Sus scrofa: one gene and its partners. The protein of the gene in region 2 purifies or fractionates together with the protein of the main gene of each other region. This does not show direct contact. Links are inferred from orthologs where the notes say so. Each region holds a gene or a part of one and is shown on either strand. Other genes may lie near its edges. The genes, in order: PATL1, LSM4 and PRMT5.

The links.
Region 1: the proteins of LSM4 (region 2) and PATL1 purify together in Homo sapiens (co-immunoprecipitation; 4 studies listed by BioGRID and IntAct, with this or other methods). This does not show direct contact. The link is inferred for Sus scrofa from reciprocal best matches to the Homo sapiens genes LSM4 and PATL1.
Region 3: the proteins of LSM4 (region 2) and PRMT5 purify together in Homo sapiens (co-immunoprecipitation; 3 studies listed by BioGRID and IntAct, with this or other methods). This does not show direct contact. The link is inferred for Sus scrofa from reciprocal best matches to the Homo sapiens genes LSM4 and PRMT5.

Annotation. Positions count from the first base shown.
Region 1 is NC_010444.4:11,823,340-11,833,088, reverse strand, and holds the start of PATL1 (protein PAT1 homolog 1), read right to left. Parts: upstream 4,995-9,749; 5' UTR 3,279-4,994; coding exon 3,219-3,278; intron 3,142-3,218; coding exon 3,030-3,141; intron 1-3,029. UniProt on the Homo sapiens protein: RNA-binding protein involved in deadenylation-dependent decapping of mRNAs, leading to the degradation of mRNAs. Acts as a scaffold protein that connects deadenylation and decapping machinery.
Region 2 is NC_010444.4:59,494,575-59,504,359, forward strand, and holds the start of LSM4 (U6 snRNA-associated Sm-like protein LSm4), read left to right. Parts: upstream 1-4,985; 5' UTR 4,986-5,101; coding exon 5,102-5,104; intron 5,105-5,353; exon of another isoform or gene 5,354-5,414; intron 5,415-7,076; exon of another isoform or gene 7,077-7,516; intron 7,517-9,785. UniProt on the Homo sapiens protein: Plays a role in pre-mRNA splicing as component of the U4/U6-U5 tri-snRNP complex that is involved in spliceosome assembly, and as component of the precatalytic spliceosome (spliceosome B complex).
Region 3 is NC_010449.5:76,106,796-76,116,704, forward strand, and holds the start of PRMT5 (protein arginine N-methyltransferase 5), read left to right. Parts: upstream 1-4,209; 5' UTR 4,210-4,214; coding exon 4,215-4,324; exon of another isoform or gene 4,325-4,560; intron 4,561-5,004; coding exon 5,005-5,123; intron 5,124-5,432; coding exon 5,433-5,518; intron 5,519-6,066; coding exon 6,067-6,201; intron 6,202-7,047; coding exon 7,048-7,160; intron 7,161-7,304; coding exon 7,305-7,354; intron 7,355-7,548; coding exon 7,549-7,712; intron 7,713-8,168; coding exon 8,169-8,330; intron 8,331-8,501; coding exon 8,502-8,579; intron 8,580-8,660; coding exon 8,661-8,719; intron 8,720-8,803; coding exon 8,804-8,926; intron 8,927-9,012; coding exon 9,013-9,188; intron 9,189-9,739; coding exon 9,740-9,849; intron 9,850-9,909. UniProt on the Homo sapiens protein: Arginine methyltransferase that can both catalyze the formation of omega-N monomethylarginine (MMA) and symmetrical dimethylarginine (sDMA), with a preference for the formation of MMA.

The DNA of each region.
Region 1 (9,749 bases), about 48 Mb from region 2:
AATAAAAAGGAAGTAGAGGGAGCTCCCCTGTGGTCTAGTACTTAGGACTTGGGTGCTTGACAGCTGCAGCCCTTCCATGTGGAGGCAGGAGAGTCCTAAAGACTCCACAAAGACTGTTTAAAATAACTGGTGGTCTACAGTGACTGTATTTATGGTTACTTAACCTCTTTGGCACCTTCCTTCGTTTGCTAAAATGAGGATAATAATAGTATCTAACTCACAAGGCTACTGTAAGGATTAATGATATATGTAAAACATTTAGAATGGTCCTTAGCATAGAATAAGCACCTTGTAAGTGTAAGCTTTTATTTTTAGAGAATCAGTTGAGAATACTGTGGCCCATTTATTGCTCAAAGATGATACAAACATTTTTCCACACAGAAGACAGTGACTGGTTTCTTAAGGAAAGGTGACATCAGAGCATCCGTAGCCAGAGACTTAAAATAACTACCGCACCAACAGGTATTATTCAAGACACTCCTTGAGTTAAAAAAAACCATCAGGCCAAAATGTATGTCATAGGTCTGACATTTTACTTCCCGGTTTAAATTCTCTATACCAGCTCTATATCCACCTGTAGAGGTATATTAAACAAATCACAGGTCGCTAAGAAAGGAATTTTTAGAATTTTCTTTTTATAAAGCTGTATATTATTTATATTAAGATGTTACGAGAAACAAGAGTTTAACTTTACAATTCAAGTATATTATACTCTCAAAGGTAAGGGCTCACATGTGGAATTCTTTTTGCCATTATAAACTTTGTTGACCAAGAAGACCTTAATCATCCTTGTGCCTCAGGGTGCAAAATGGGCTAATCATATGCTACTTCACTGCCTTTACTTTTTACCATCTGTTCTTTTCCTGTGTAACCCTAAGGGCTTTTTCAATGTGTGTACTTCTCTCTTCCATCATATAAAATATTGTTTTGCACACTTTAAAATTCTTTTAAGGCAGTACTTTCCCTATCCTGCGAGAAATATAAACTCAGAAAAACAACAGTAACAAGAGACTGTCCACAACACCCTAGAAATCAGTGAGAAGGTGAAACTATTCCTCTCCTATCCATGTTCAAAAGAGAGGACATTTACTATGCTAACAGTATATCTTCATTCTTTTTTTTTTGGCCACATCTGTGGTATGCAGAAGTTCCCAGGCCAGGGATTGAACCTGTACCACAGCAGCAACCCAAATAGCTGCAGTGACACCACCAGATCCTTAACCTGCTGCACCACAAGGGAACTTCATAATGTATTTCATTTTAATATAAGCGAATTTGCTAAAAAATGGTAACATTAAGTTCAATATTTTAAGAGAAAAAGTTCCAGATATAAGCACACACTGTCCATAGCTTCTATTGTATTCTATAGGTTTTTACTAAAGTTTCATGTACAATTTGCAATTCACATCAGTTCCCTGCTTTTGTAATTCTAGTCTCCATCCGCCCCCTTCGCTGTGATCTCCATGGAGAGAGAACAGCATCTTAGATCACGTCGTCTTCTTGGACGATCTCATCCCCAAACTATGGCTGAAATCCAAAAGGTCTTCGGTGCCCTCTTCCACAGAGCCCAGCTTTCTAACTTAAAGGCTTCTCTAGCTGCTCCCAATAGCAGCAGTTTTAGTTCTCCAGTGAATTTTGTAAACCCTGATTGAAGAGAGTATACTTTTTCATTTTCGCCAGTTCACTCAACTCATTCTAAGCTTTAATAAATTTAAGCTGTTTATTTCACTGAAAAACCAGTAACCAAAACATTTTTAAGACCCTTTATTTGTTTTGGATATTCAACATTTTAGGATTACCCACGACTGATAAATTTCCTCTTCTTATTACTTAACTTTGAATATCTGTTGCTTAGATAGAAGTGCAAAGAAATCCCACATTCACACATCCCAACATAAATGAAGTCGTTGCTGCTTTTCAACACCATTAGTCAAAGCGGAGATATCTGCATTGATTCTTATCTTCTTTCCAAAGTACAATTTAATTTTAACTTATTAGCATACTTGCTCTAGGGTCTCTAATTCTCAAACTTTATCATACAAGCTTGCTCCCTGAATCTCCCATTTCAGTAATTATAAGCCTGTGGCCTCTAGCTGACTTTGGTTTTTTAGTTTTTTGATCTTTTCCAACTCCTAGAATATTTATCTATACCCAGGGCTGAGAAAATTTCATTTTTTTTTTTTTTTTTTGTCTTTTGTTGTTGCTATTTCTTGGGCTGCTCCCGAGGCATATGGAGATTCCCATGCTAGGGGTTGAATCGGAGCTGTAGCCACTGGCCTACGCCAGAGCCACAGCAACTTGGGATCCGAGCCGCGTCTGCAACCTACACCACAGCTCACGGCAACGCCGGATCGTTAACCCACTGAGCAAGGGCAGGGACCGAACCTGCAACCTCATGGTTCCTAGTCGGATTCGTTAACCACTGCGCCACGATGGGAACTCCAGAAAATTTCATTTTTGCACAACACCTTTCTAACTTACAAAGACCTCTTACTACCAAATTCCTGGAATAAAATATGTAATTAAATATACTTACTATAGGACAAAAGCAGGGTCAGGCCATATAAAAATTTTCAAACATACATATATGAATCTTAGTTTTCTCCTAATGCACTAGTTTTCCTTAAGTTACGTGTTTCATGAAAAAAAACAAAAAAAACAAAAAACTTCCTTCTCTATCCAGTGTTGCCATGAGCTGTGGTGTGGGTCACAGACGTGGCTTGGTTCCTGTGTTGCCATGGTTGTAGCGTAGGCTGGCAGCTATAGCTCCAATTCGACCTCTAGCCTGGGAACCTCCATGTGCCACAGGTGCGGTCCTAAAAAGACCAAAAAAAAAAAAAAAGTCCTTCTTCTAGGATTATTTTAAGCCTTTATAAAATGTCCACTTGTCTAACCATTTGAATTTCTTATAGTGTCAACTTAGAACGATAGATCATAAAGCTGGAAAAGACAAGGCTTAGAAAACACCAGATTTTCTAAGTGAGGCAAAAAGAGACCAGAGGAAGACAAAAGTACTTAATATCGCTTACCAACTGCACCTGACCCAAATGTATCATCATTGAATTGATCAATCTCTTCATCTTCCTCTCCCAGCCCCTGAAACGCATCTTCATCTTCATCCAGAGGACAATCCTCCAAAGACTTTAAGAGAGAGAGAGAGACTGATAATTCGTGAAGTTCACAACCTCACTTAAAAAATGTTCTAAAAATGTTCTTACCTTCCCAATCAACACAATAGCTTCATTATGACTTTTTGTACAGATGGCATTTTTTTCCATCCCCCAATTTTCCCGACATTGGAAGATTTGCAAATCGTTTCTTTCAGCTTCTCTTTCCTATTCCTTATTTCATTTAACCTCTTCCCCCAAATTTCCATTTCTCTTTTCAGCAAGAATCTAATAATAGCATTTCCTCATGCAACCAAGAAATTAGGCCTGTAACTTCCTTTCCATCACTGGTTACAATAATGACAAATGAAAGCAAACACTTTACATTTTGCTAGAGTTTTACATCTATTTTTCAATGAAATTCTTATCTTCCCCATATTCATGTCATCTTTTCAACCCTTTTATTATTCCCTTTTGAAGCTTTCTCATCATTTTTCCTCTTCCTTCTTTCTACAGGCCCAAAACTGGTGATAAAACAGAAAGCTAAGATTTCAATCACAATTAAGTAAACTCTTGAAAGGCCGGGATGTGGCAAGTTTAAGTTCTGTCTCAACTCTGACAAGTGATATCAACTTGGGCAAATCACAGCCGTTCTGATGAATTCATTCAATACCTCCTGAGCACCTACTGTGTCTCAGCCTGTATTAAGGCTCTAAGCCACAATCTCTTAGGTGGTAATACAAGGACACCACCACCTGCCTCAGCAAGTAGTGAGGATCAAAGGAGAAAAAGATTGAAGCAAACATTGTGTATTGTTAAACAATGCTAGATATCACTTGGGTATGTTCTACTTTAAACACTCCCCCCCCCATTTCATTTATTTTTCCAAGTTTTCTTTTCTTTGGGGAACTTTGCCCCACCACATCTCAGCATGTCTCTCCATGTTTACATATAGTCAGTTTGATCTCGAGCCATTCCCATCAAATAGCAAGAATACACAGCCCCAATTTTCAAATACTCAGAATCAGAATTCCACACTCTCTGGCAGGCACATTTGTGATAACACCTTGCCGGCTATTTCTCAGCTAGGCTGTTCCCAAAAGAAACGTTAGGCCAAAGGGCCATCTTAGGTCCTTCCAAACTTAGACAAAGCAAGCATGTGCAACTGCATCCACATCAGAGGCAACTTCCAGAAGCATTCCCAAATCACAAAGATCTACTTCACCGAATCACTGCTTTTTAGGTTGGAAAGGGATCGTCTAGACCCACCCTTTCTACAAATCCAGAAACTCTGTCTAGTGATTAGCAGTCGCTAAAGGTCATACAGAGACTCAGTGGTAGCGTCATAACTCTGTTGCTGTATTCCAGGGACCATCACGAACCCCCAGTTTCCCTCCATTCGCCCAGAAAAAACTTCTGCTGGACACGCCCCTTCCCCACTCGGAGCTCTCATCAGTAAACAGTCTTCCGCCCCAGTCAAAGGGCAAGTGCAGGCCCGGGTGACCTGACGGTTGCCTGCGAGTAAGGGGCTATGTGTAATTAATGCGAGATGATAGTTCTGGGTCTTAGGCGGGAAATGCGTCCCTGGGCTTTACCCTGTGGCTCTTCCTTAAGCCTTAAGTGCCACCGGGTGGGTGCAAGGCTCTCAATGCCGAGCCCCACCGGGGGTACGGTGGGGTGGGGGGTGGTTGGTTACCGCACTTAACGGGCCCTCCCCACCCCCAAACAGAGGTCAACTCTCCTCAGTAGCAACTGATAGGACAGTCCCGCCCCCACGAAGCCAGCTCACAGCCCTTGGACTAAACCCGCGACCCCAGAGCCCACACACTCTGCTCGGTCCTGCCGGCCCCTCCGCCCCCCCTTTTCCCCCCGAGGGGCGCGGACCGACGCGCTGAGCGTGAGAGAAACAGAGAGGGGGGCGCGTGCCGGCGGGAGGGAGGGGTCACTTCCGGTCGCAACAGCTCACCTCGTAGCGGAACATTCTTGGGGAGGGGGGGGAGGGAGCGGGGAGGGGAATGGGGGAGGGAGGGAAGAAGCGCTGACTCTCCGGGCTCCTCCGCGCGCGGGTCCTCCACCGGCTCGCGACCCCTGGCCGCCGCCGTACGCCGGAGCGTGCGTGGGAACGTGCGCAGGCGCGCCTCGGGGAGGGCGGCCGCCCCGCTCCGCGCCCGGCGGCGGCGGCTGCGCGGGGACAGATTTGGCGTCCCGCTTCCTAGTCTCGGCGGCGGGAAGGAGGTCCCGTGGCGAGAGACTGCGCACGCGCCACCCGTCGGGGGCTTCCTCGCGATCCGAACCTGTAGCTCCGCCCCCGGCTTCTCTGCGCCCGCCCGACGCTGAGGTTCGAGTCACGAGTTTTCCGTCACCGACGGGGCGGAGAAAAGCCTTGTGATTGTCACAGGATATGGCTTTGGAGAGTCCCAGGCTTAGCTTAGGCTGGGAGAAATGGACATTCCTGGGCACTTTTTCCAGCGTCCAACACCGTCTTCGGGTTGCTTGGCGGTCTTCACGACATACGATAGGCACCGAGTGGAGGGGAAAAAAGTTAAAGTTCAGGTCATCGAAAGGGGCTGAGTTCGTCGCCACTTTCAGCGGCACGTCACCCGCTGAGTCAACAGCAGGTCAGGGCTGTGATTTATGTGTCTCAGAGATGAAGGCTTTTTTTTCCTCTTTTCTTTAAACCGAAGGCTTATTAGGGAGGTTCAACCAGGGAGGTATTTTTAGGGCTCAGGCACATCAAGCGTGTGGAGTGAGGGAGCCAAAAAAGGCAGCACAGCCGTGGGCAGCAAGGTCATCGAGGCTGAGTGCGCCGTAGGGTGACACCACCTCCTTAGAGGATCAGGACCAGAAAAGCATTTGTCCAGGTGCCTTGGCAGCCTGTTTTCAGAAGTCTCTTTGGAGAACTGTTATCTCCGCTAGCCGAACTCACTCTTTCCCCTTGAAGACTAAACTTGGCTACGAAATTTAGTCCTTGCACCACGAATTCTTGTGCAGTTTCGCAACTCCTTTCTCCGGTGTCTTAAAGTGCAGCCTCGCCTGGGAGTGGCATAGAGTAAATTCCTTACGTGGTGGTATGACCGGATTAATCAGAGCCTGAGTAGTGGAAACTTGGATTTGGAAATAGAAGTTCTGGGTGGGAATCAGTGCTTTGCCACTGGGCCGTCAGATTTGGGGCAAGTTACCTAAACGTGTCTGAGCCTTAATTTCTTTGGAAAACGGGATTAATGATACCTGCCTCACAAAGTAGTGGTTCAATGGCATGATGATTCCAGTAGTACTTCTACTGATGGTTGAAGTCTGCCTTATGCCAATCCGGTGAGGTAGGTGGTATTATTTTCTCCATAGATGAGGAATTTGAGGATTAGAGATGTTAAGCAGTTTATCCTAAACCACTCAATGGCAAGCGGCAACCAGGTCTCTCATTCCAGAAACCCAGTCTCTTAATCATTGTGACAGTTTAACAAAAGAGGATATTTACATGGGACAGACCTAAATGTTAAAGTGGAGCAGGCTGGGGATAAGATGATAACTTTTAAGCACGCATAGAACACTACAAAAGTTCATGTATTAGGTAGGGGCACTTCTTAACAGTGAGAATTGGTGCCATATAGACCAAAGGTTGGGAAAGTGTGACCCACAGCCAAATCTGCTTAGCTGCCTTTTTTTTTCAAAGTAAAGTTTTGTGGGAAGACGGCCATCTTCATTTATTTACATATTGTCTTTAGTTGCTTTGGGGCAACAAAGGCATAATTGAATACTTTCAATGGAGGCTATTTGGCTAGCAAAGCCTGAAATAATTACTCTGGCCCTTTACGGAAAGAGTTTGCTGATTCTAGATGTTGCAGATCAAGTTTTCTGATCATTATGTCAGAATTTTTTTTTTTTTTTTTTTTTTTTTTTGGCTGCACTGGTGGCAAATGAAGTTCCCGGGCCAGGGATCAAATCCAAGCCACAGGTGTGACCTTTGCCACAGCTGTGGCAACACCAGATCTTTAACTGGATCTGCACCAGGCAGGGAATGGAAATTGTGCCTCAGCAGCGATTGGAGCCACCTCAAATACAACACTGGATACTTAACCTACTGTGCCACAATGAGAACTCCAGACATCAGAACATTTTAAAAAACTCCACACTTCTAATTAATGGACTGCTTGAGAAAACATAGTGGAAAGTAGATAAACTTATTAACGTATAAAGACTTGAGATACAGCTAAAGCAGTTTCTATGAGAGAATAGGAAAGCCTGAATGTAAATGAACTATAGGATGATGTCAAAGAAAGGATAAATAAGGAAATAGTAAAGAGCAGAAATGAAAGAAACAGAAAACAAGATAGAGATGGTCGATAAAATTATGTTTTTCTCATGCAACAGCTGTCTTTGAGGGAGATGAATGAGGGCCACTTTAGGCAAATGTATTTTCTTGAGCTGTGTAGGCCCATTATTAAGATGGAGAGGGTAAAAATTCTTTTCACAAGTAATTCTTTCGAAATAAGATATGAGGCCTTTGGAGAGTGTCTCTTGAGTGAGTGGAAGAAAAGTCTCTCCTGCACACCAGCTAGGTGGAAAAGGCGATTGACAGTTGAGAGGCGACATCAATTAGCATCGCTATCATGCTTTCTCTGGCCTTGCCATCCTTTTTCCAAAGGTTGTAAAAAAAATCCACTGCGGTATTTACAGATTCTATACATCCTATTTCTTAGATCATGGTAAAGGAACAAAATGTACTTTTTGTGAGCCTAGTTTCAGATGATGTATTAATTTTCATCAAGTAATGTACAACAAGTGTTATACAACAGCTTCACCAGGAGGGCTTGTTAAAATAGACTCCTGGGAGTTCCCCTTGGGGCTCTTTGTTAAGGACCTAATGCTGTCTCTGTGAGGGTGTGGGTTTGATCCTTAGTTTCACTCTGGGTTAGGCTGTGGCATTGCTGCAAGCTGCAGCATGGATCAAAGACGAGTCTCTTATCTGGTGGCCATGGCTGTGGTGTGGGCATGTAGCTGCAGCTCTGATCCGACCCCTAGCCTGAGAACATCCATATGCCACAGGTGCTGCCATAAACAAGAAAGAAAAACAAAAACCAGACTCCTGGGCCACCCCACTCCCCAGATTTTCTGATTCAGCAGGTCTGCAATGGGACCTAAAAATTGCATTTATATGAAGTTCCCAGGTGATGCTGATGCTGTTGGTTCTAGGACTAGGCTTTGAGAATGGTTGCTTTTAAACATTGTCCTCGGGTGCTTGCAAAGGTTATAAAGAGGTGGGGAAAAGAGTGGTGGGCTGCCCAGAGGGTCATTTCTCATGTAGTCTACAAGGTTGTAACAAATGTCCTAGAAAGTTACAGGGAGGAACCCTTGGTGCAGCAGATTTTAGGACAAAAGGCTTAGCAATATAATAGAAATTAAAATATAATGCAAAACTTGTAAACAAGGCCACAGAGTCTTTGTCCTCTCTGAAGAGGTGTTTTCTGTTTCCACCATTCCTTGAATCTGGCCTGGACTGTGATAGACCCGTGGAGTGCTGGGGAGGCGATGCAATGTCAGCTGTGTCTAGTCTTTAAGAAGACTGACAATGTAAGTCCATGTTAGATGCCCACTTGTCTTGCTGAAGCGGTCACATGAAAAGGCCTTGGCACTACATGGAGAGGGAGACGGGTCCAGCTGGATCCAGTTTACCAGCCACACAAGACATGTGGATGAAGCTGTCTTGGGCTCTCCAGACCAGTTCAGCTGCCAGCTGAATATCATCGAGTCACCCCATTCAGCACCACATGGAGCAAATACTCTCTCAACTGAGCCTTTCCCAAAAACCTCATCCATAAAGCTGTGGTGTTAAAATAAAATGACTGTGGTTTTAAACCACAAAATTTTGGAGTAGTTTGTTACTCATTAATAGGTAACCAGAAGTCTGTGTAGAAAAATTATACAAAACTTGGAAATCAGGAAAAAGGGTTTTGTGTGCCCTTTCTGTGATGTAATAAGAGCACTGTCTAACAAGCCTACTTGAGAATCATTTGAAGTTCTAGAAGAGGTGACTTTATTTGACTTAGTATTTACCAGTAGTGAGTTACTAGACTCAACAAAGTTAGATATTACTTGGTAGAAGATTGCTGAATTACAAATTATTTCCAGTTGAGATGATTTCATTTTGATAGTAAGGGTAATCCCAAAGGGGACAGTTTTATTGCCGTGCTGGCTAGTAACTGGCATTATATATAACATTTGAGTTTTATTCCAGCATTCTTTTTTTCCTGTTGGTTATAGTTCAGTTTCTTGTATTCTCTTTTGAACCACCTACCCTGCTGCTCATTCTCTCATGAATGCGATAAATATGCGACAAGTGCTCATGTTGGTTCACAAACTGGGCCCTGTAGGTGGAGGGCAAGGAGAGATCAAGGAAAAGCAGTCACTCCAGATGGGTAGGTGGAGGAAGCAGCTCAATGCAGGAGCATTTACATGTGAAGCTTGTCTTGGGCAGCTGCAAGACAAGTAGATTTCAACCTTCCAGAACCTTAAAATCTGCATAGAGCCCTTAGTAGGGTCCGCTCACATGTACCTGTATACCCTCCAGCTGGTGTCAACAACACCTTACTCTCTTGTCCTTGAAAATAGCTCCCACTGTGGGAATGGTGGGCAGAGCATACCTTC
Region 2 (9,785 bases):
CTACATCCTCATGGATGCTAGTCAGATTCATTTCTGCTGAGCCATGATGAGAGCTCCTACATATAATTTTTTTAATACATTTAAAATATTCTGTCTAATGGAGGAAACATAGATAGCTTCCTCAATCAGTCCCCGCGGCTGTTAGACATTTACATTCTTTCTCTTGTTTTAAAGTTGGCAACATTGCTGCAAGGCCTTGGCATGGAGCAGTTCCCCTCATTTGTAAGACCTCCTTAGCAGAAATTACTGAGTTTCAGGGTATGACACTTTTATAGATGTTCAAACATAAAGCCATTTTTCCCTCCTTAAAAGAAAACATAGGAGTTTCTTGATAGCACATGGGTTAAGGATCCAGTATTGTCACTGCTGTGGCTTGAGTCACTGCTGTGGCACAGGTTCAGTCCCATGCCCAGGGAACCTCCACATGCCGCAGGTGTGGCCAAAACACGAAAAAAAAAAAAGAGAGGGAAAATTAAAAAAAGAAAACGTATGTCTACCAGTTTCACAACATTGCCAGAATTGAGTTTTATGATCCTTCTCTCCTCCCCCCCTTTTTTAAAGTGGAGGGTAGTGTATCTTTATTAATTTAATAGGTACATTGGTTCATACTCTTTAGGTTTCTGCTGCCAGAAATACAATTTAAACTGGACTGGAAAGAATAGTGTTGTCTCTGCAGCAGCTCAGGTCACTGCCTAGGCACAGCTTCTATCCGCAGCCTGGCACAGCAAGTTAAGGATCTAGTGTTGCTGCAGCTGAGGTGTAGGTTGAGGGCCCAGGAACTTCCATATGCCGAGGGTACAGCCAAAAAAAAAAAAAAGTTTAGGGGGGAATGTTTAAATTTTGAAAAGTTCAAAGAGCAGCTGTGCATTAGTGCAGGCTCTGCCAAATGCTAAGGACAGTATCCAAACTCCAAGTCAATTAAGCAACAAAGGACAAATTCTTGGGCCCCTATAAGTGGAAAGTCATGTCTTATAACCTCAGGAATATCTGATCAAACCATGCCTCTTCTCCACAGAGGAATTCCTTTGTATTTCAGATTAAACCCGCAAAAAGGAGTTCCCATCGTGGTGCAGCAGAAACGAATCCGACTAGGAACCATGAGGTTTCGGGTTCGATCCCGTGAGCTGTGGCGTAGGTGGCAGAAGCGGCTCGGATCTGGCGTCGCTGTGGCTCTGGTGTAGCCAGATAGCTCGTATAGCTCCGATTGGACCCCTAGCCTGGCAGCCTCCACAAGCCGCGGGTGCGGCCCTAAAGTGACGAAAAGACAAAAACAAAACAAACAAAAAACCTGGCAAAGAACTTATTCCAGAAGATCAGTTGTGATGGCACAGGACCTTCACTACCGCACTTTTAAAAACCTCTGTGGAAAGCGCTCTTCTCCTCCTAGACCTCCCAAGGGATAGGGATAGTCTAATGGCCCTCGGTTGGTCACGTGTTCCCCTTTAACCAATCACTATGCCCAAGTGGGTGGAGAACTCCGAACTTCAACTCCGGAGTTGAAAGAGCTAACTCAAACTGCAGTAATCGCAGTCTGCCACACGGGGTCACCCAAGCAGAGTTTTAAAGGATGATCCCTTGCGCAAAAGGAGAAAGACTGCACATAGAAAAGTCTAGAAAAGTCACAAAGATGTGAACCGACATGCGATTTTCTTCCTACTTCTACCAGCGTGTTGTTGCTGGAGCACTTCATGTATCCCAGTTTCTATTGTTTACATCACAACGGCCTTTACCTGCGGCAAACAATACTTGGCTAGTCACCTCAACCCAGTTGGCATATCCAGCGTTCTGCACACTTTCCAGACCTCACCAGCAACCCTGGGAGCATCCTCAAGCCAATGATGAAGGCGGAAATAAACACTGCCCTGACCCTGGGTGGGGCCTCTATGAGACACAAGCTCTTATGTTGATTCCCGACGGTCCACAGCTGTACTAACCCTCAGTTGCCCACTTTGTCACCTGCTCATCAATGTCCACTGCAGAGCTCCTTCCCTCCCTATCTCAGGTATCCATTCCCAATGGGGGCTTCTGGTGTTTTCCCCCTGCATACTCTATGTGTCTGTGAGTCCTCATCTCAGGGTCAGCTTCTGGGGGAGGGCAGATCCCATTTTAAGACATGAAGGACAGGGGAGTTCCCGTCGTGGCTCAGTGGTTAACGAATCCGACTAGGAACTATGAGGTTGAGGGTTTGATCCCTGGCCTTGCTCAGTGGGTTAAGGATCTGGCGTTGCCATGAGCTGTGGTGGGGGTCGCAGACGCAGCTTGGATCCTGAGTTGCTGTGGCTGTGGTGTAGGCCGGCAGCTACAGCTCCGATTCAACCCCTAGCCTGTGAACCTCCATATGCGTGGGTGTGGCCCTAGAAAAAGGCAAAAAAGACAAAAAAAAAAAAAGACATGAAGGACAACTGTTGGTTCAGGGCTATCAGGTGCTTCACACTTTATATGGGTTTCACATTTGATCACTCCACACAGTAACCTCGATTGGCAGAGATGATTACAGACAGTCCTCAATTTAAGATGGTTTGACATTAGCGTTTTCGACTTCACAATGTGTGAAAGCATTCAGTAGAAATTGAACTTTGAATTTTTTTTTTTTTTTTTTTTTTTTGGCTTTTTAGGGCTGCAGTTGCGGCGTATAGAGGTTCCCAGGCCAGGGGTCTAATCGGAGCTGCAGCCGCCGGCCTACGCCAGAGCCACAGCAATGCGGGATCCGAGCCGCGTATGCAACCTACACCACAGCTCACGGCAACGCCGGATCCTTAACTCACTGAGGAAGGCCAGGGATCGAACCCTCAACCTCATGGTTCCTAGTTGGACTCGTTAACCACTGCGCCATGACGGGAACTCCCTGAACTTTTAATTTTGATCCCTTCCCAAGCTAGTGATATGTAGTAAGGTACTTTCTCATAATGCTCAGCAGTAGCAGCGAGCCTCAGCTCCCAGTCAGTCATATGCTCACAATGGTAAAGAAGGGATACACTTATAACTGTTCTTTTACTTTCAGTACGGTATTCAATAAATCACATAAGCTATTCAACACTTTATTATAAAATAGTTTTGGAGTTCCTGTCGTGGCTCAGTGGTTAACAAATCTGTCTAGGAACCATGAGGTTGTGGGTTCGATCCCTGCCCTCGTTCAGTGGTTTAAGGATCTGGCGTTGCTGTGAGCTGTGGTGTAGGTTGCAGACGCGGCTTGGATCCTGTGTTGCTGTGGCTCTGGCGTAGGCCCGTGGCTGCAGCTCCAATTCGACCCCTAGCCTGGGAACCTCCATATGCCGCGGGAGCAGCTCAAGAAAAGGCAAAAAGACAAAAAATAAAATAAATAAATAAATAAAATAGTTTCATGTTTGATCTTGCTCAACTGCAGGCTAATGTTCCAACAGAACATCGATAACAGAGATCAGTTCTAACCCCCATATCTGTGAATATGGCCTTATTGGAAATAAAGTCTTTGTCGATATAATTAAGGATCTCAAGATGAAATTTAACCTGAGTTTAGGAAGGGCCTAATACGAGAAAGGAATGCCTTCATAAAAAAAGAGGAAGAGGAGTTCCCGTCGTGGCGCAGTGGTTAACGAATCCGACTAGCAACCATGAGGTTGCGGGTTCAGTCCCTGCTCCTGCTCAGTGGGTTGACGATCCGGCGTTGCCGTGAGCTGTGGTGTAGGTTGCAGACGCGGCTCGGATCCCGCGTTGCTGTGGCTCTGGCGTAGGCTGGTGGCTACAGCTCCGATTCAACCCCTAGCCTGGGAAACTCCATATGCCGCGGGAGCGGCCCAAGAAATAGCAAAAAGACAAAAAAAAAAAAAAAAAAAAAAGAGGAAGAGTTGAGACACAGAGACACACAAAGAAAAGCACCATGTGATGACAGAGGAATCTGTGCCAAGAACTACAAGGATTGCTGGCAGAGAAGCATGGGATGAATTGCCCCTCAGATCCTTCAGAAAGAACCAACTCTGCTAAAACTTTGATTTCAGTCTTTCGGATTAAGTTTTACTGTTTAAAACCACCCAGTTTGGAGTTCCTGTTGTTGCTCAGCAGTAAGGAACCGGACTAGGTATCCATGAGGACTCAGGTTCAATCCCTGGCCTCAATCAGTGGGTTAAGGAAGCTGCGGTGTAGGCCACAAATGCTGCTCAGATCCTGCATTGCCATGGCTATGGTGTAGGCAACTGTAGCTCCATCCAATTCGACCCCTAGCTTGGGAACGTTCATATGCCATGGGTGAGGACCTAAAAAGCAAAAAATATTCAAATAAAAATAAAAAAATAAAACCACCCAGTTTGATCATTTGTTATGGCAGCCCAAGGAAACTAATACATTTGTCTATTTTGTTTACAGTCTGCCTCCCCAGTGGGCTCCTAAACCTCAGGAGGGCCAGGAGTTTTGTTTGGTTTATTCTCTTCTGTGTTTCCAGGAGGAGGCCCGTAGTAGATGCTCAATAAATATTTATTGCATGTCCGTGTATCAAGTGCTCAGTACGTGCCGGGCACTCTTCTTTTACAAGGCATAAATCACTTGGCACTCATTGCAACCTTCTAAAGCAGACACTATTATTAAGCCCATTTCAAAGGGAAGCAAACTGAGGTTCACACCGGTACGTCTAGCCTATCAAAAGAAGTGCCCTGGACAACGGTCAACTACAATAAAGAGAATCAGAAGAGTAGGAGCTCGAAGGGACACATGGCAATAACCATAGAGCTGCCATTCCTCCATTTGGAAATTGGAGGCACTACCCCGTTTTGCCCACAGCGTGGAGCCCGGAAAAATCACTGAAGATTGCACCTGCGCAGGCGCCCTTACCCACAAGGCCTCCTGCGCCGGCGCACATTGCTCCGCCCCCTTTTGCAGCACTCATAGCGGCACTTTACGACTCTCTCTCTCATTTCTCCGGTAGGAACGCGGCCCGCCCCGCCCCTCGTGTTTAATAGGCCCCGCCTTACTCCGCGTGGATTGGTTGGCCTTCCCATGAGCCTCGTGCTGACTGGCTCGCGTTGCTGCCACTCCATTTCAGCCTAGTGGCGCGCAGAGCTGCAGCTACCGGCGGGAACGTGAGCGGCGGCGGCGGCGGAAGTAGCCCACGAGCCTAGTCCCCGCCGACACCATGGTGAGGGCGGTGCGACGGGGGAGCCGGCCGCCAAGGGCCCTCGGGGCGGTTGTTGGTTCAGGGGCGTTGTGGAGCCAGCCTGTAATCTGGGCCTTGAGTCCTGCCCCTTCGCCCAAGGTGGGGAGGACAGGCCGGAGAGTGGAAGAGCTTCTCCCAGGACACCAAGCACGTCGGTCTCGGGGGAGCTTGGGATTGGATAGAAATGAAATCACAGTATGGCAGTCTGGCAGCAGTCTTCCCATTTTGCAGATGGGGAAACTGAGGCCAGAGAGGAAGGGGACCTGCTGAAGGGCCCGGTGAATGCAGCAGAGTGAGTTTTCGGACGGGGAAATGGCTCCCAGTGCATCCGACCCGATCTGACCTCCTAGACAGTAAAGCTAGAGCACCAGGCAGTAGGGGGCCGGCCTTCTTTCTCAAATTCAGCCAATCTGGGGAATTTCGGGGGTTGTACTGCCCTTGGAATGCTAGCTGCGCAACCTCTTATGCCTCTCCTTTTCAGACTAAAAAGCAGACCCAAAGCAAGGTTAACTTCTTCCGGGGTCACACAGCATATGGTTCCAGGGGAAGGGGGGGCGTTTTCAGCCATGGATGGGCTAACCGTATCCCAGTTTAGAAAACAAAAAAATCGAGGCCCTGGCAGGAAGTCTCCCCAGGGCCATGCCATCTCACAAGTTGTGGAAATTGGAGATCTAAACCAGCGTGCCTGTGTCCCCAGTGAGTGACAGACAGGGAAATGGAGGCCCACACAGAGGAATTGAGCTGGGAGAGAACCTGGCCCATCAGCCCTCGAGTCCTCTAAGATGGTCGCTGCACATTTTTCGGAGCTGACCATGAGGGTTCAGTAATTCTTCTGGTCATTGTAGGGATGGAGAGAAGGGAGCAGCTTCGTTCTCTCTGTTCGTCTCTCTGGAGGGTAGAGTTGGTCTGTGGAAGAATCCATTTGTTAAGCTCCATGGAGATAGGATCTCTGTTTTATCCTCATATATTGCCAGAGCCTAGAACAGTGTCTGTGCAAAGTCTGTGTTCAGGAGTGGCTAAGGCATTACACACTGCCTGTTCCTTGTGGTCGGGGTGGGGCGGAAGCCAAGCCAAGGTCTGGGTGAGGGAGTGGGTGATCAGCAGCTTCCTGAGTTGGGAACCTCAGGACACCATTAAATCCAGTTGTGGAAGTTTCCATTGTGGCACAGCAGAAACGAATCCGAGTAATAACCATGAGGTTGGGGGTTTGATCCCAGGTCTTGCTTAGTGGATTAAGGATCCAGTGTTGCTGTGAGCTGTGGTGTAAGCTGCACACGTGGATCAGATCCCATGTGGCTGTGGCGCAGGCTGGTGGCTGTACCTCCAATTCGACCCCTAGCCTGGGAACCTCCATATGCCATGGGTGCGGCCCTAAAAAGCAAATAAATAAATGTATTTAGGTGTGGATGGACCTAGACCTGAGGGCCAGACCCCAGATGTTCTGAGAAAGGCTAGAGAAAAGAATTCTCTTCCCTGAAGCTTTTTATGACTCCAAATTCCACACAGCCCTTGCTCCCCCCTGAACTGGGTGATCTGCCCTCTCCTGTATCCCTGGCACCTTCATGCTTTCCCCCACCCCAGCATACCCCTCGCTTTCAAGTTCACCAGGTTCCTCCTCTTCCTTTGGCCTTTGTCTCCAACAGCGTTTGGGAACAAGGAAGTAGATATGACCACTGCTGCGGTTGTTGAAGTCTTGGAGGGCTGTCCCAATGCCACCTTTCCCTACCTGAGCTTCTCCTTTTCCTTGTCTTGTGAGGTGTGGCAAGTATTCCCCACCCCACCCCACCCCTGTCACCACCCCCTGCCTGGAGTGCCTCCCTGGGTGGTATGTGCTATATTTGTCAGCAAATATTTACTGAGTCCCTTGCATGTGCCTGGCCCAGTGTTCAGCACTGGACAAAGTCCACACCCTCTGAATTTTCCAGTCTAGCAAGAGGCTTGGTGTTTCCAGTCTAGCCAGGGAGACGTAATAAATAAACAAGTTAATTAGAGACTGGCTATACCCTATAATAGAAGCAGAGGGTGGCCCAGGTGGAAACCTCATTCCCTTGATGGGGTTATAATGAGGGGCTGGCTGAAGCAGAAGTCACCAGCCTGGGGGAGGGCACCCCAGGTAGAGGGAACCAAGGAACAAAGTTTGACCAATAGCACCAGGCGTGGTGTGAAGAAGTGAGCGGGCCAGTTTGCTAGAGCCGTGTCAGGCCTGGCTCTGTGGCTAGCCAAGGGAGCGGGTGTGCAGGGGAGGGTGTGAGCAGGTGCTGGTTCCATCTGTGTCGCTGCCGTCCTCTGAGGTCACACTGCTGGCAACAGCTGCAAAGGCTGTGGGTCCTCCAGGGGTGTGCTACTCGTAGCTGGGACAGGATGGTAGCCTGAGAGAGACAGCCTGAAGGCAAGGTATGCCATAAAAGGACATCTGTGGGTCTTCTGCTAACAGGCATTAATCTGCTTTCCCCGGCTTTACCCAGACCTTGCTCTGTATCCTTGGGTGTCCCTCCTAGCTGCTGGTACCTCATCTAGAGGGGCCTTGGCTGTGCTACTCCTACTCCCTCCACCTCTCCACACAGTCCATTTTCATTCTCACCTTCCAGGACAGGGGCTGGCCTGGCCCTGTCCCCGTCTCCGGTGATCTGGGAGGAGGACTCAAGTGTGTCATTGCTCTGGTCCTGATTCCCGTTGTGGATACAGCAAACAGGCTTGTCCAGGAAAACCCTGAGCTTCTCTATAATAGAATACCACCTGGCTCTGTGGCTCCCTCATGCATATCTGAGCCTCCTGTTCTTTCTCCACAGCTTGCTGTGCTCAGGCAGCATCAGACAGATGTGTTCCTTTTTCTTTTTTCCTTTTTAGGCCCACACCTGCAGCATATGGAAGTTCCCAGGCTAGGGGTGGAATTGGAGCTGCAGCTGTCGGCCCATACCACAGCCACAGCCACACGGGATTAGAGCTACGTCTGTGACCTATACCATAGCTCACTTCAACGCCGGATCCTTAACCCACTGAGCAGCGCCAGGGATCGAACCCACATCTTCATGGATACTGGTTGGATTTGTTTTCACTGTGCCACAACAGGAACTCCAGACAGATGCATTCCAGAGGAGGGGGCAGGGGCTGCATGTTGCCTGTGTTGGGACCCCCAGCTGCCTTCTAGGACCAGCCACCTCTCCTCCACCTCTCCTCCACGTGGCACCTTCCTCCTCTTTATCTTGCCCCTCCAGGAAGCCAGTGCAGGAAGTGGGCTTGGGCCCAGCTTCCTGCCACTGCTGGATCTCCCCCAGGTGGCTCTTCTCAGAGAAGGCCTGTGGGATGTGGCATCCGCCACCCCCACCCCAAGCCCTTCCATAGGGAGCCGTCCTCTGGGGGTGGAGGGCCTCTTCACAGAGAGGCCTTACGGTCCCCACCACCTGGAGAAGTGGCTGCCTCCTATTGGGAGTGTGAAGGGTGGGCTGGAGCTCTCCTGCAAAGAACTCTGGGGGGTCAGGCCAACTTAGAATTCCCAAGTCACTAGGGCAAGGTGTCATCCTCCCTGAGACACTGTCCCATATTGTGGGGCCCTTGGTCTAGAACCTTCACCTGGCCCTACTGGATAGGCTGTCATTGGACCCTGGACCCAGGCACTCCCATCCAAGTCACCCTTCTGGAGACCCAGAGACAGGGTCTAGCGTGTGGGTTGTGATTTGCATTCCCAGAATGAAAAGAGCCGATTTCTTTCCCAGTTACACTATATGTTCTAAAAAAAGAAATTTGGGGAGTTCCCACTGTGGCTCAGTGGTTAATGAATGCAACTAGAAACCATGAGATTGCGGGTTCCACCCCTGGCCTTGCTCAGTGGGTTAAGGATCCTGCATTGCTGTGAACTGTGATGTTGATCGCAGACACGGCTTGGATCTGGCATTGCTGTGGCTCTGGCGCAGGCCAGTGGCTACAGCTCCAATTGGACCCCTAGCCTGGGAACTTCCATATGTCGCGGATGCGGCCCTAGAAAAGACAAAAAAAAAAAAAGAAAAGAAAAGAAATTCAGGACTCCCATGTTCCAGCAGGTTAAGAATCTGGCGTTGCCTCTGCCCTCTGCTGTGGCTCTGGTTACATCTGTGGCATGGATTTGATTCCTGGCCCAGGAATTTCTGCATGCTGCGAGTAGATCAAAAAAATAAAATAAAATCAGTAATAATGGAAAAAGAACTATCTTGAAGGTTCACCTTATCTGGGTGGGTTTTTAAATTCCATCCTTTTGTCTCCTGGCCCTTGCGGTAACCACAGACTTTTTCTGAAATGTTTCTTCCTCTCACCTGCTCAATTTCTCTCTCTGAACGGGGGCTCAGACGTGGCCTCCTCAGATCACGTGGACTCCCAGTTGCATTGTGCCTAGCCCATTCACTCTTGGTTCAGTCAGGGCTGTCCCCACCCCCACCTCAGATGTGGGCCTAGCATGAACTGGCTGCTGACTGTTGGGGGTCAAGCCAAGCTCAGTTTCTGAGCCGCAATATCCCCATCCATGAAGTGGGTGTGATGATAACCACCTACAATGCTGAAAACAAAAGGGCTAGCTAGAGTTGTATGTATTAACATGGATACATCTCAGAAATGTCAAAAAACAAGCAACAGCAGGACCTGTGTGCTGTGATGCTGCTGATAAGCACAGAGGGCTGGTGCTATCAGAGGTGTG
Region 3 (9,909 bases), on a different chromosome or scaffold from region 2:
AAAAAAAAAAAAAGAAAAGAAAAGAAAAGAAAATGGAATTGATCCACCACATTCTCTCATTGATGACTATTAAAAATGATCAAATATTTTTTCTATCTTTGATCTGTTATATAAATAAATGTCCTAATACCTTACTTTGCGTTAATTCTTGAGATAAACCCTAACTGATTCTGGCATATTATTATTGTGTTAATATACTCATGGCTTTTATTGTTAATCTTAAATATTTTAGGATTTTTACATTTATATCCATAGCAAGATAGGTCTATAGGGTTTTTTTTTGAGAGGGTGCTATTTCCGATAGTTTTTGGTATTAGGTATATTCTGGGTTCATAAACAAATCGGGTAGTTTTCCATCTTTTTCTATGTTCCAGAACAGTTTCTACTTTCAATTCATTTTGACAGATAAATACTGTATAATAGAGATGACAAGGAAGAGAATGCAAATTGGCACAGATTATTTTGCCTCAGTAACTCTGCCACTTTTGTAGCTCGAGGACAGCCTTGATTGTGAAGAAGCAATTTGGAGCAGTAGGAGGGTCAAACGGGCCATTATTTTGGTGTTGAAGAGTGCGGCTGGCTGGGCAGGCACAGAGGTGAGTGAAGGTGATGCTGGGGAGGGAGGCAAGTGCTGAGGGAGGAGGGGAGCCCAAGAAAAGGTGAAAGGAGGGTTTAAAATGGACTGGCAGTGTTGAAACAAGGACATACAACCAGGAGCAGGTAGAACAACTGGGTCTGAAGGTGAGGAATGCTGGGTGTGGGTACTCCTTTCCTTCCAGAAAAGTTTCCAATGCTCCGCCCTGTTGGTCACCAGCTTTTGTTGGAGAAAATAACATTATTTCTTACCCATCATCTCCCTGTCTTCATCTCAGCAAAGGCCTGCATTCTATAATATAACAGTGATGGACATACTTTGGAGCACAAGAGTTCAGCATGAAGAGCAGAGCGGAGAGAAACAGAGCATAAGACAGACTCTACCGACTCTGGCTTTATGTCTAGGGCTAAGTCCTACAACAGGTTCTTTATTTCTTTTTCAGTCCTTCCCTCTGCTCGTCTGTAGCTCATATAGACAGACCCACAGTCCATGCTGTTCTTTAAGGCAAAGGAACATGCAATAGGACAGGTAGGGTGTGATGTGGTATGGAATTTCTCTGTTCAGCATCACGCTTGCCACACAGCGGAGGCAATTTTGAATGAAAAAACAAAGACATCCCAGACAAATGAAATTCAGCCCATCCAAACTTATTTTAAAGTCAGTTAGAAATTCTAGGCTCTTTTTACACAAATTCTTTTGAAAATTATTTTACTGATGGCAAAACTGACATTACCATTTCATAGATTTTCTTCTCTCCCTTTCATCCATGGATGGGTTAGTTAACAACCAACAGAGCAGCCACCAGCTTGACATTAGGAGGAAGATGCCAGGAGCACAGATGGTCCACAGCCCAGATAATTAGCTTCTGAAGACGAAACAACATCTAATAAGTCTTCTGTGAATGTGGAGTTTGGTTGGGCACAGTTGGGGGAGAGAAAAAGCAGGCCTGCCCAACAACTCTTTTTCTTCTTAAAATGTCAGAAGAGCACTCACCCACTTCCTGTTAAGTCCCTACTCATGAGACCTGCAGGGAAGAATTCAAATAAATATCGTAGACATTCCACCTCAAAGGAGGGGAAGAATAACTCCGCACTCCTTACGTGTGGAATGCACATAATGACTTCCAAAGAGTACAGGATGGAAAGGGGGAAGGCATGTAATTTTCCACTGGAGAGAACTGATAAACACTAGTTCTACCAGGTGATAAAGGTCAACATCAATAGTCATAAATCATGTTGATGGTATGTATTCTTGATATGACATGATGAAAATGGCACTTGAGCTCTGTGATCTTCCTCTCCCAAAACCATAACCTGAGTCTGATCATGAGAAAACCATCAGACAAATTCCAATAGAGGGCTGTCTTGCAGTAAACCTGACCAATACTACTCAAAACAATTAAGGTTGTCAAAAACAAGGAACATTTGGCAGTTCCTGCTGTGGCACATCAGAAACAAATCCAACTAGTATCCATGAGGATGCATGTTCAAACCCTAGCCTTGCCCACTGGGTTGGGGATTTGCCGTTGCCCTGAGCTGTGGTGTAGGATGCAGCTGGGGTTCAGATCCCGTGTTGCTGAGGCTGTGGCGTAGGCCAGCAGCTGTAGCTTCGATTCATCCCCTAGCCTGGGAGCTCCCATATGCCATGGGTGCGCTCCTAAAAAGCAAAAAACAAGGAACATTTGAGAAACTGTCATAGCCAAGAGGAGCCTAAGCAGACATGAGCAGATATGACAACTATATGTAACATGGTACCCTGGATGGGATCATGGAACAGAAAGAAGACATTAGGTAAAAATTAGGGAAATCTGAATAAACTATGGACTTCAGTTAATAATTATCAATAATAACATATCAAGAGTTCCCTGGTGGCTCAGCAGGTAAATGTACCATATTAACGTTAAGATGTTAATAATAGAGAAAGATGGGGGGGTGGAATGTGAGAACTCCTGTACTATCTCTGCAATTTTTCTGCAAATCTAAAACTTTTAAGAAAAAGTCTAGGAGGTGCCACTGTGGTACAGTGGGTTAAGAATCCAACTGCAGCGGTTCTGGTCACTTCAGAGGCATGGGCTGGATACCTGGCCTGGGAGGGAACTTCCATATACCTTTTTTTTTTTTTTTTTTTCCCATTAAAAAAGGAAAGAAAAAAAAGACAAATTCTAGTAATAGTAAGATGAGACACAAGCACCTCCAACTCTTTTAGGCTTCATAGGCATTTTCGTAGTTCTCTGACTTTCTGACTTTCATCCTTTTGGGGCGCTTACAATGTATTCCCTTATAGCTTAGCCTATCCACACACATTCCGTGTTTCTCAGGACTCTGTCGTCCACTGCGGCGATCTCATTCGGTCTCCTGGCTTCAGTCACTATCTCTCTTCTGGCGATTTGCAAATCTTGTCTGGTTCAGATCACTGTTCATACAACTCTCTATTACACAGCGCCCCCTAGACGTCCAAGTCAGCATTTCCAAACCCCAGCCTCGATTCTCCCTAAACCAGCTTTTATCATTTGTCTCGCTCAAAGAGGCCAGAACTCTGGGCATCACCCCCAGACTTCCCTTTCTCAGACTCCCTGTCAGTCGGTCTCTAAATTCTGTCAAGGCCTCCTGCCTAGGGCCTTTTGTATTGATTCTCTTTTCCGTTCCCCGCTGCCAAGTCCGCAACACCTCTGGGCTTCCTGCCTTCAGGTATTTCTCCTGCCTAGATCTTTTTTTGCTTCATTCCTTTCCTTCTTTTCCATCCCTCTAGCAAGCATGGAAAAGAAAAATGTAGAGACTCTTTCCTGTCTCTGCCAGTCAATTCATAACTTCTCTCCACTGTAATCTCTCACCATGAATTCCTTTATCTTCAGTGGTGTGTGTGTTTCAGTGTTTGCTTTTTGTATTTGAGATACCGAATCACAAGGAATTTGTGGCTGAATTGCCACAATCTGTTTAAAAATATACTAAGGCCCATTCAAAATCCATTTTAAGAGCACCAGCCATTAACTCAGTTTTCTTGGTGCATTTGGATGCACCAAGGCAGGGACACAAGAACCATCTTTGAACTAGGTATTATTAAACGCTGGCATGAAATAGTTGCAGAATGCAATAACATTAAGACCTGAAAATGAGAGCGAGAGAGGACAGCGAAGAAATTTTAAAAGGGGGCATTAAAGCATTGCAGGGGATGCACCAAAAGCGTTAGCCCCACCGAGCCAGCCAGGAGTCGAACCTGGAATCTTCTGATCCGTAGTCAGACGCGTTATCCATTGCGCCACTGGCCCTGAGACGACTTCTTCGTTCTCAATGATGACACTTCAAGCTTATACTGCAGGGTTTCATGGGACGTGTAGTCTCTTACCGGAATTTTACCAGTACATGAAGCATTATGGGAGATCGAAGTTTGTCGAGAACCAGACCCTGAGATTGGTGACTCTTCCGGAGCCGTGCCCTACGTCACTGTGCAGCCTGCGGATTGGCAGGAAGAGCCACTTCCCACCCCTCCTCCACTTGCTCGGGACCCTGGGAGACGCTTTGGTTGTCAGGGAGACTCGTCCCGCCTTCCGGGGGCTTTTTTTCGGCTTTGTGATTGGCTGCCAGTGTCAGGGAATCTCGGCGTGGACTGCGCGAGGGAAAAGATGGCGGCGATGGCGGTCGGCGGTGCCGGTGGAAGCCGCGTGTCCAGCGGGAGGGACCTGAATTGCGTCCCCGAAATAGCTGACACACTGGGGGCTGTGGCCAAGCAGGGGTGAGGGCCTGGACTTCCGCGAACAGAATGCGGGGTCGGAACTCGGGGACTGAGAGGGGCAGACCAGTCATCCCTGGGAAGCAGGGGTGAGGGGGTCGGAGTGGATAAGATTAGGGTGGGAGAAACCGCTAGTCCATGTAGGGAGAAGCCTCCGGCCCTGGAGCGTAAGAGAAAGAGAAAGAAAGACATATTGGGAACGTGTGGTCCCTGAACCCCAAAGTCGAGAGAGTTATCAGGTAAACTCAAAAAGAGGGCGTACGACCTCAAGGGCCCTGGAGAGCGAGGTGCGAGGTTCTTGTCTCAGAGTGGGAGGAAGTGTTATGGGGCTAGGGAGAGGAGAGATGAACCTTGAGGGCTGAAGCCTGGGTAGTACTGGAGCAGATCTGGATATGACAGTCTTGGAAAATCAGTGACAACAGAGTAGAAAGTCCACGTGGCGTGGATTTTCATCTTTTCTCTTTTCTCATCTTTTCCATGGCTCTGTTCTGGGAAGAAATTGAGGCACAACGCAGTGGAAGTGATATTCCCTAAAATGGGCCGAATTCAGCAGCCCATTCGAGTGACTGACTAATGGCAGCTGAAAGGGTTGTGCAGAATGGAGATAGCCTAGTCCAATTGCTTGGATCGCTGGGCACTGCTACTCTCTTTACATGACGATTCTGGGTCTGTCGTGGTTGTAGGTTTGATTTCCTCTGCATGCCTGTCTTCCACCCGCGTTTCAAGAGGGAGTTCACTCAGGAACCTGCTAAGAATCGGCCGGGTCCCCAGACACGATCAGACCTACTGCTGTCAGGAAGGGGTAGGGACCATCCCACATGCCCCTTAATTATTAGAGGCAGTAACAACTTATGTTTTATCAGTGCCTTCTTCCTCTTCCTTTCTTGACCTGGATGTATTTGTTCAACCCTGGGATATGGATAACTCTTGTTCTCTCCTTGCTTACTGCTCAAAGCCTTAGTTTCCTATTCTGCATCAGGCTTTCCTGTATCTGTGATAGAAAAAGCCTTTTGTCTCTCATCTCTACTATTCCCTGTTAAGAAATAGAAATTGAATGCATAAAGTGCTGAACCTCACTCAGTCTTTGTCTTTCTTGGGTTGGGGAGTGCAGACTGGAATACACTAATTGTGGGCAAGCTTTCCCCATGGATTCGTCCAGACTCAAAAGTGGAGAAGATCCGCAGGAACTCTGAGGCGGTAAGACTGACATCTTCACCGAATCTTTCTAAAGATCAGATCTGTAAACAACCTGGATGGGGAGAACAGATTTTTCCCCTCCATAACTTAGTAAATCTGATGTAATGCACTTAAAGCTGTTTGAGGAGTTCCCCTTGTGGCTTAGTGGTTAATGAATCAAACTAGCATCCAGTGGGGGAAAAAACTGTAACTGCAATGTATACATCTAAGGATGACCTGACCCCCTTGCTGTACAGTGGGAAAATAAAAAAAAAAAAAAAAAAAAAAAACTAGCATCCATGAGGATGAGGACAAGGGTTCAGTCCCTGGCCTTGCTCAGCGGGTTAAGGATCCGGCATTGCCGTGAGCTGTGGTGTAGGTTGCAGACATGGCTCAGGTCCTGAGTTGCTGTGGCTGTGGCGTAGGCCGGCGGCTTCAGCTCTGATTGGACCCCCAGCCTGGAAACCTCCATATGCCGTGGGTGCAGCCCTAAAGAGACAAAAAAAAAAAAAAAAAAAAGGTTGTTTGAGTTGCTAGCTCTTAACTTTGCCTCTTGTTCTCCATTCTAGGCTATGTTACAGGAGCTGAATTTTGGGGCCTATTTGGGTCTTCCAGCTTTCCTGCTGCCCCTAAATCAGGAAGATAACACAAACTTGGCAAGAGTTTTGACTAATCACATCCACACTGGCCACCACTCCTCCATGGTATGGCTGAGGGCCTCCTTTCCTGCTGCACATTATGGTAGTCAGGCTGTGCTAAATATCTTCTTTTCCTAGCCATTCAGTAAAGGGTGCATTAGGCAGAATTTAAATGTCAGTCCTGCCTACCCACAACTAAAAGTGGTAAGCAGAGACTTATAAAATACATAGCATATTCTATTATCTCCAGAAACTTATAATAAAGTAAAAGACAGGGCAGATACTTACATAAGGATGTACACGAGATACGTGTGCACATACATAAAATCACAATTGGGAAAAGCATGTAAGGGGATTAAGTTGAAATCTAGATCAAGATCTTTTTATTTATTTATGTTTAAGCTTTTTTTTTTGTCTTTTCAGGGCTGCACCTGTGGCACATGGAGGTTCCCAGGCTAGGAGTCAAATCAGAGCTGTAGCTGCCGGCCTACACCATAGCCACAGCAACGCCACATCTGAGCCGTGTCTGCGACCTACACCACAGCTCATGGCAACATCAGGTCCTTAACCCACTGAGGGAGGCCAGGGATCAAACCCACAATCTTAGCTCTTAGTGGTTCTTAGTCGGATTCGTTTCCCCTGTGCCATGACAGGAACTCCTGGATCAAGATCTTTTTAATTGAAAGAAGCTTCTGGACCCAATGAGTTCAAAATAGAGTTCTAAATAGGGCAGAGAGGTGTTTTCTTGTGGCGCAGTGGGTTAAGAATCTGGTGTTGTCGCTGTTGCGGCTTGGGTTATTGCTGTGGTGGGGTTTGATCCCCAGCCTGGACACTTCCACATGCCAAGGGCACGGCCAAAAATAAATTAATTAATTAATTAAGGTACAGAAGCTATTTATTGTTCATGTGCAGTTCTGGATGCGGGTGCCATTGGTGGCACCAGAGGACCTAAGAGATGATATAATCGAGAATGCACCAGCATCACACACAGAGGAGTACAGCGGAGAGGAGAAGACGTGGATGTGGTATGTCTCCTTCTGCTGCTGTGCCAGGGCAAAGGGTAGGGTGAGAGGAAGTACAGGGTGGGCCCTGCAGGAGGGTCTCCTTGAGGTATGGTGGTTGGTGGGCTATATATATTTGACTGTATTTTCCTGTGTTTGACTGAACAGGTGGCACAACTTCCGAACCTTGTGTGACTATAGCAAAAGGATTGCGGTGGGTAAGTCCATGAAGGTCCTGGCATAGGTTGTCCTTTGACCTTCTGTGATGAAGAATCGGGAATTTCGTGTATATGTGCTTGCTCCTTTCCCTGTGCCTCAGTCTGCCTTGTCTTGAGAAAAATAGATCTTGCACAAAAGAGCAAGGAGAGACTTCTGGCTTATCAGTGACTGACAGATATTTTCCCTTGTGTAGCTCTTGAAATTGGTGCTGACCTTCCATCTAATCATGTCATTGATCGTTGGCTTGGGGAGCCCATCAAAGCAGCCATTCTCCCCACCAGCATTTTCCTGACCAATAAGAAGGGATTTCCTGTTCTTTCTAAGATGCATCAGAGGCTGATCTTCCGACTCCTCAAGGTGTGTAGTAGAAAGGTTCTAAACGTGCTCCAGCTACTCTTCTTGCTGCCTTATTCACACATATATGTATGATGGATTTTTTTTTTTTTCTCTCTCTGTGGGGCTAACTCTTTTCCTTTCTAATTTCTGGAGAGCAATTTCAGCAAAGTTGGGGGTCTTGAGAGCAAAAAGACAAATAGCAGTAGGAGGCCCAGAAATATTTCAAAAGGAACCAGGTCTCATGAGAACTTTGCAGAAAGTTTCATTTAAGAAGTTACAACAAGGAGCCATGGGCCAGGATGATGCTTATGTGGCATAGGAGGGTTTGTGCTGCTTTTGTTGTTATTTGGAGGTATTTGTTGGACCAGAGAACTGCTGATCTGGGCCATATTTTATGCTAGAGCTCTTCGCCCACAAACCATAATAATATCCTCTTGGTTTAAAGATTGTGTCTGATGGTCTGACTTATCCTCGCAGTTGGAGGTGCAGTTCATCATTACAGGCACCAACCACCACTCAGAGAAGGAGTTCTGCTCCTACCTCCAATACTTAGAATACTTGAGCCAGAACCGACCTCCACCCAATGCCTACGAACTCTTTGCCAAGGGCTATGAAGACTACCTGCAGTCCCCACTCCAGGTGGGTCTGGAGTGCACTGAGAGGAGGGAGGTGGCGGACGGAAATGTCTCCTGAGAGCAGGTGCCTGAAAATCCTGACAAAGCTCAGGGAGCAGTGGGAAGGCTTTGGTACTCTGGTGCACTGTCCTTGCTAGAAACTGGCTCACTTACTTTCTCTTTTTCATTTCATCAGCCACTGATGGATAATCTGGAATCTCAAACATATGAAGTGTTTGAAAAGGACCCCATCAAATACTCTCAATACCAGCAGGTATAGTGTGGATCTCAGATTGGCTAGGATGACCTGGGTGAGGATGGCATTACAACCATGAGGTCTTTTCTCTTCCCCCAGGCCATCTATAAATGTCTATTAGACCGAGTGCCAGAGGAGGAGAAGGACACCAACGTCCAGTGAGTGCTCTCCCCATGAGCCCAGAGCTTTGCATGCCTGTGTCTCTATATGCCGAGTCAGCTTGACTCCTGTCTCTTTCATAGAGTGCTCATGGTGCTGGGAGCGGGCCGGGGGCCCCTGGTGAATGCCTCCCTGCGGGCAGCCAAGCAGGCTGACCGGCGGATAAAGCTGTACGCTGTGGAGAAGAACCCAAATGCTGTGGTGACGTGAGTAGCAACCTCCTTGTTGGCAAGTTTGTCCCCAGTGCCAGTTTTTCTTAGCTGTGTCCTCACTTGTATCATCTCTGTTTTAGGCTGGAGAATTGGCAGTTTGAAGAATGGGGAAGCCAGGTGACAGTAGTCTCCTCGGACATGCGGGAATGGGTGGCTCCAGAGAAAGCAGATATCATTGTCAGTGAGCTTCTGGGGTCCTTCGCTGACAATGAGCTGTCACCCGAGTGCCTGGATGGAGCCCAGCACTTCTTAAAAGGTGCCTCTAGGCTGGGGTGTATTGCATAAGGGGACTGGATTATCAGCTGGGAAGGTGGGAGCGGGTTGGGGAGGGATGGGTGTGGCAGTAGCCTAGAGGAAGCTGCAAGGTTTAGGGGAAGCGGGGAAGGCGGGTAGACTTGGGGCAGGAGCCTTAGCAAATGAAGCAGTCTCTCTGAACCTAGGTGTTCACGTCTGTAAGATGAGGGGAGGACCAGAGCAAAGACTCAATCTGAGGTCTGTGAACTCCCTGAGCTGACATGATATGTACCTTGGGCTTAGCTTTCATCAGGATCTCAGAGGACTTTGTATTAAGAGAGTTAAGAACCTCTAGACTAGAAGACCTTGGGTTCCTTCCAACTTTACTCTTGTGTGACTATAAATTAACCTAGAAGTGGAATCCCCCAGGACAAGGAGTAGGGAGCAGGTCGGCCTGAGAATGTGACAACACGAAACTGCTTGAGTCTTTTGATGTGGGAGGTCTGGGCCTTCACTGAGTACAGATACACTGTTTCTAGCCCTTGGGAAGTAATGTGACCTTCTGCTCTGCAGATGATGGCGTGAGCATCCCTGGGGAATACACCTCCTTTCTAGCTCCCATCTCCTCCTCCAAGTTGTACAATGAGGTTCGAGCCTGTCGGGAAAAAGACCGTGACCCTGAGGTGAGGCCACTCTCTTCTTCTTCTTCTTCTTTTTTTTTTTTTTGGCCATACCTGCGGCAT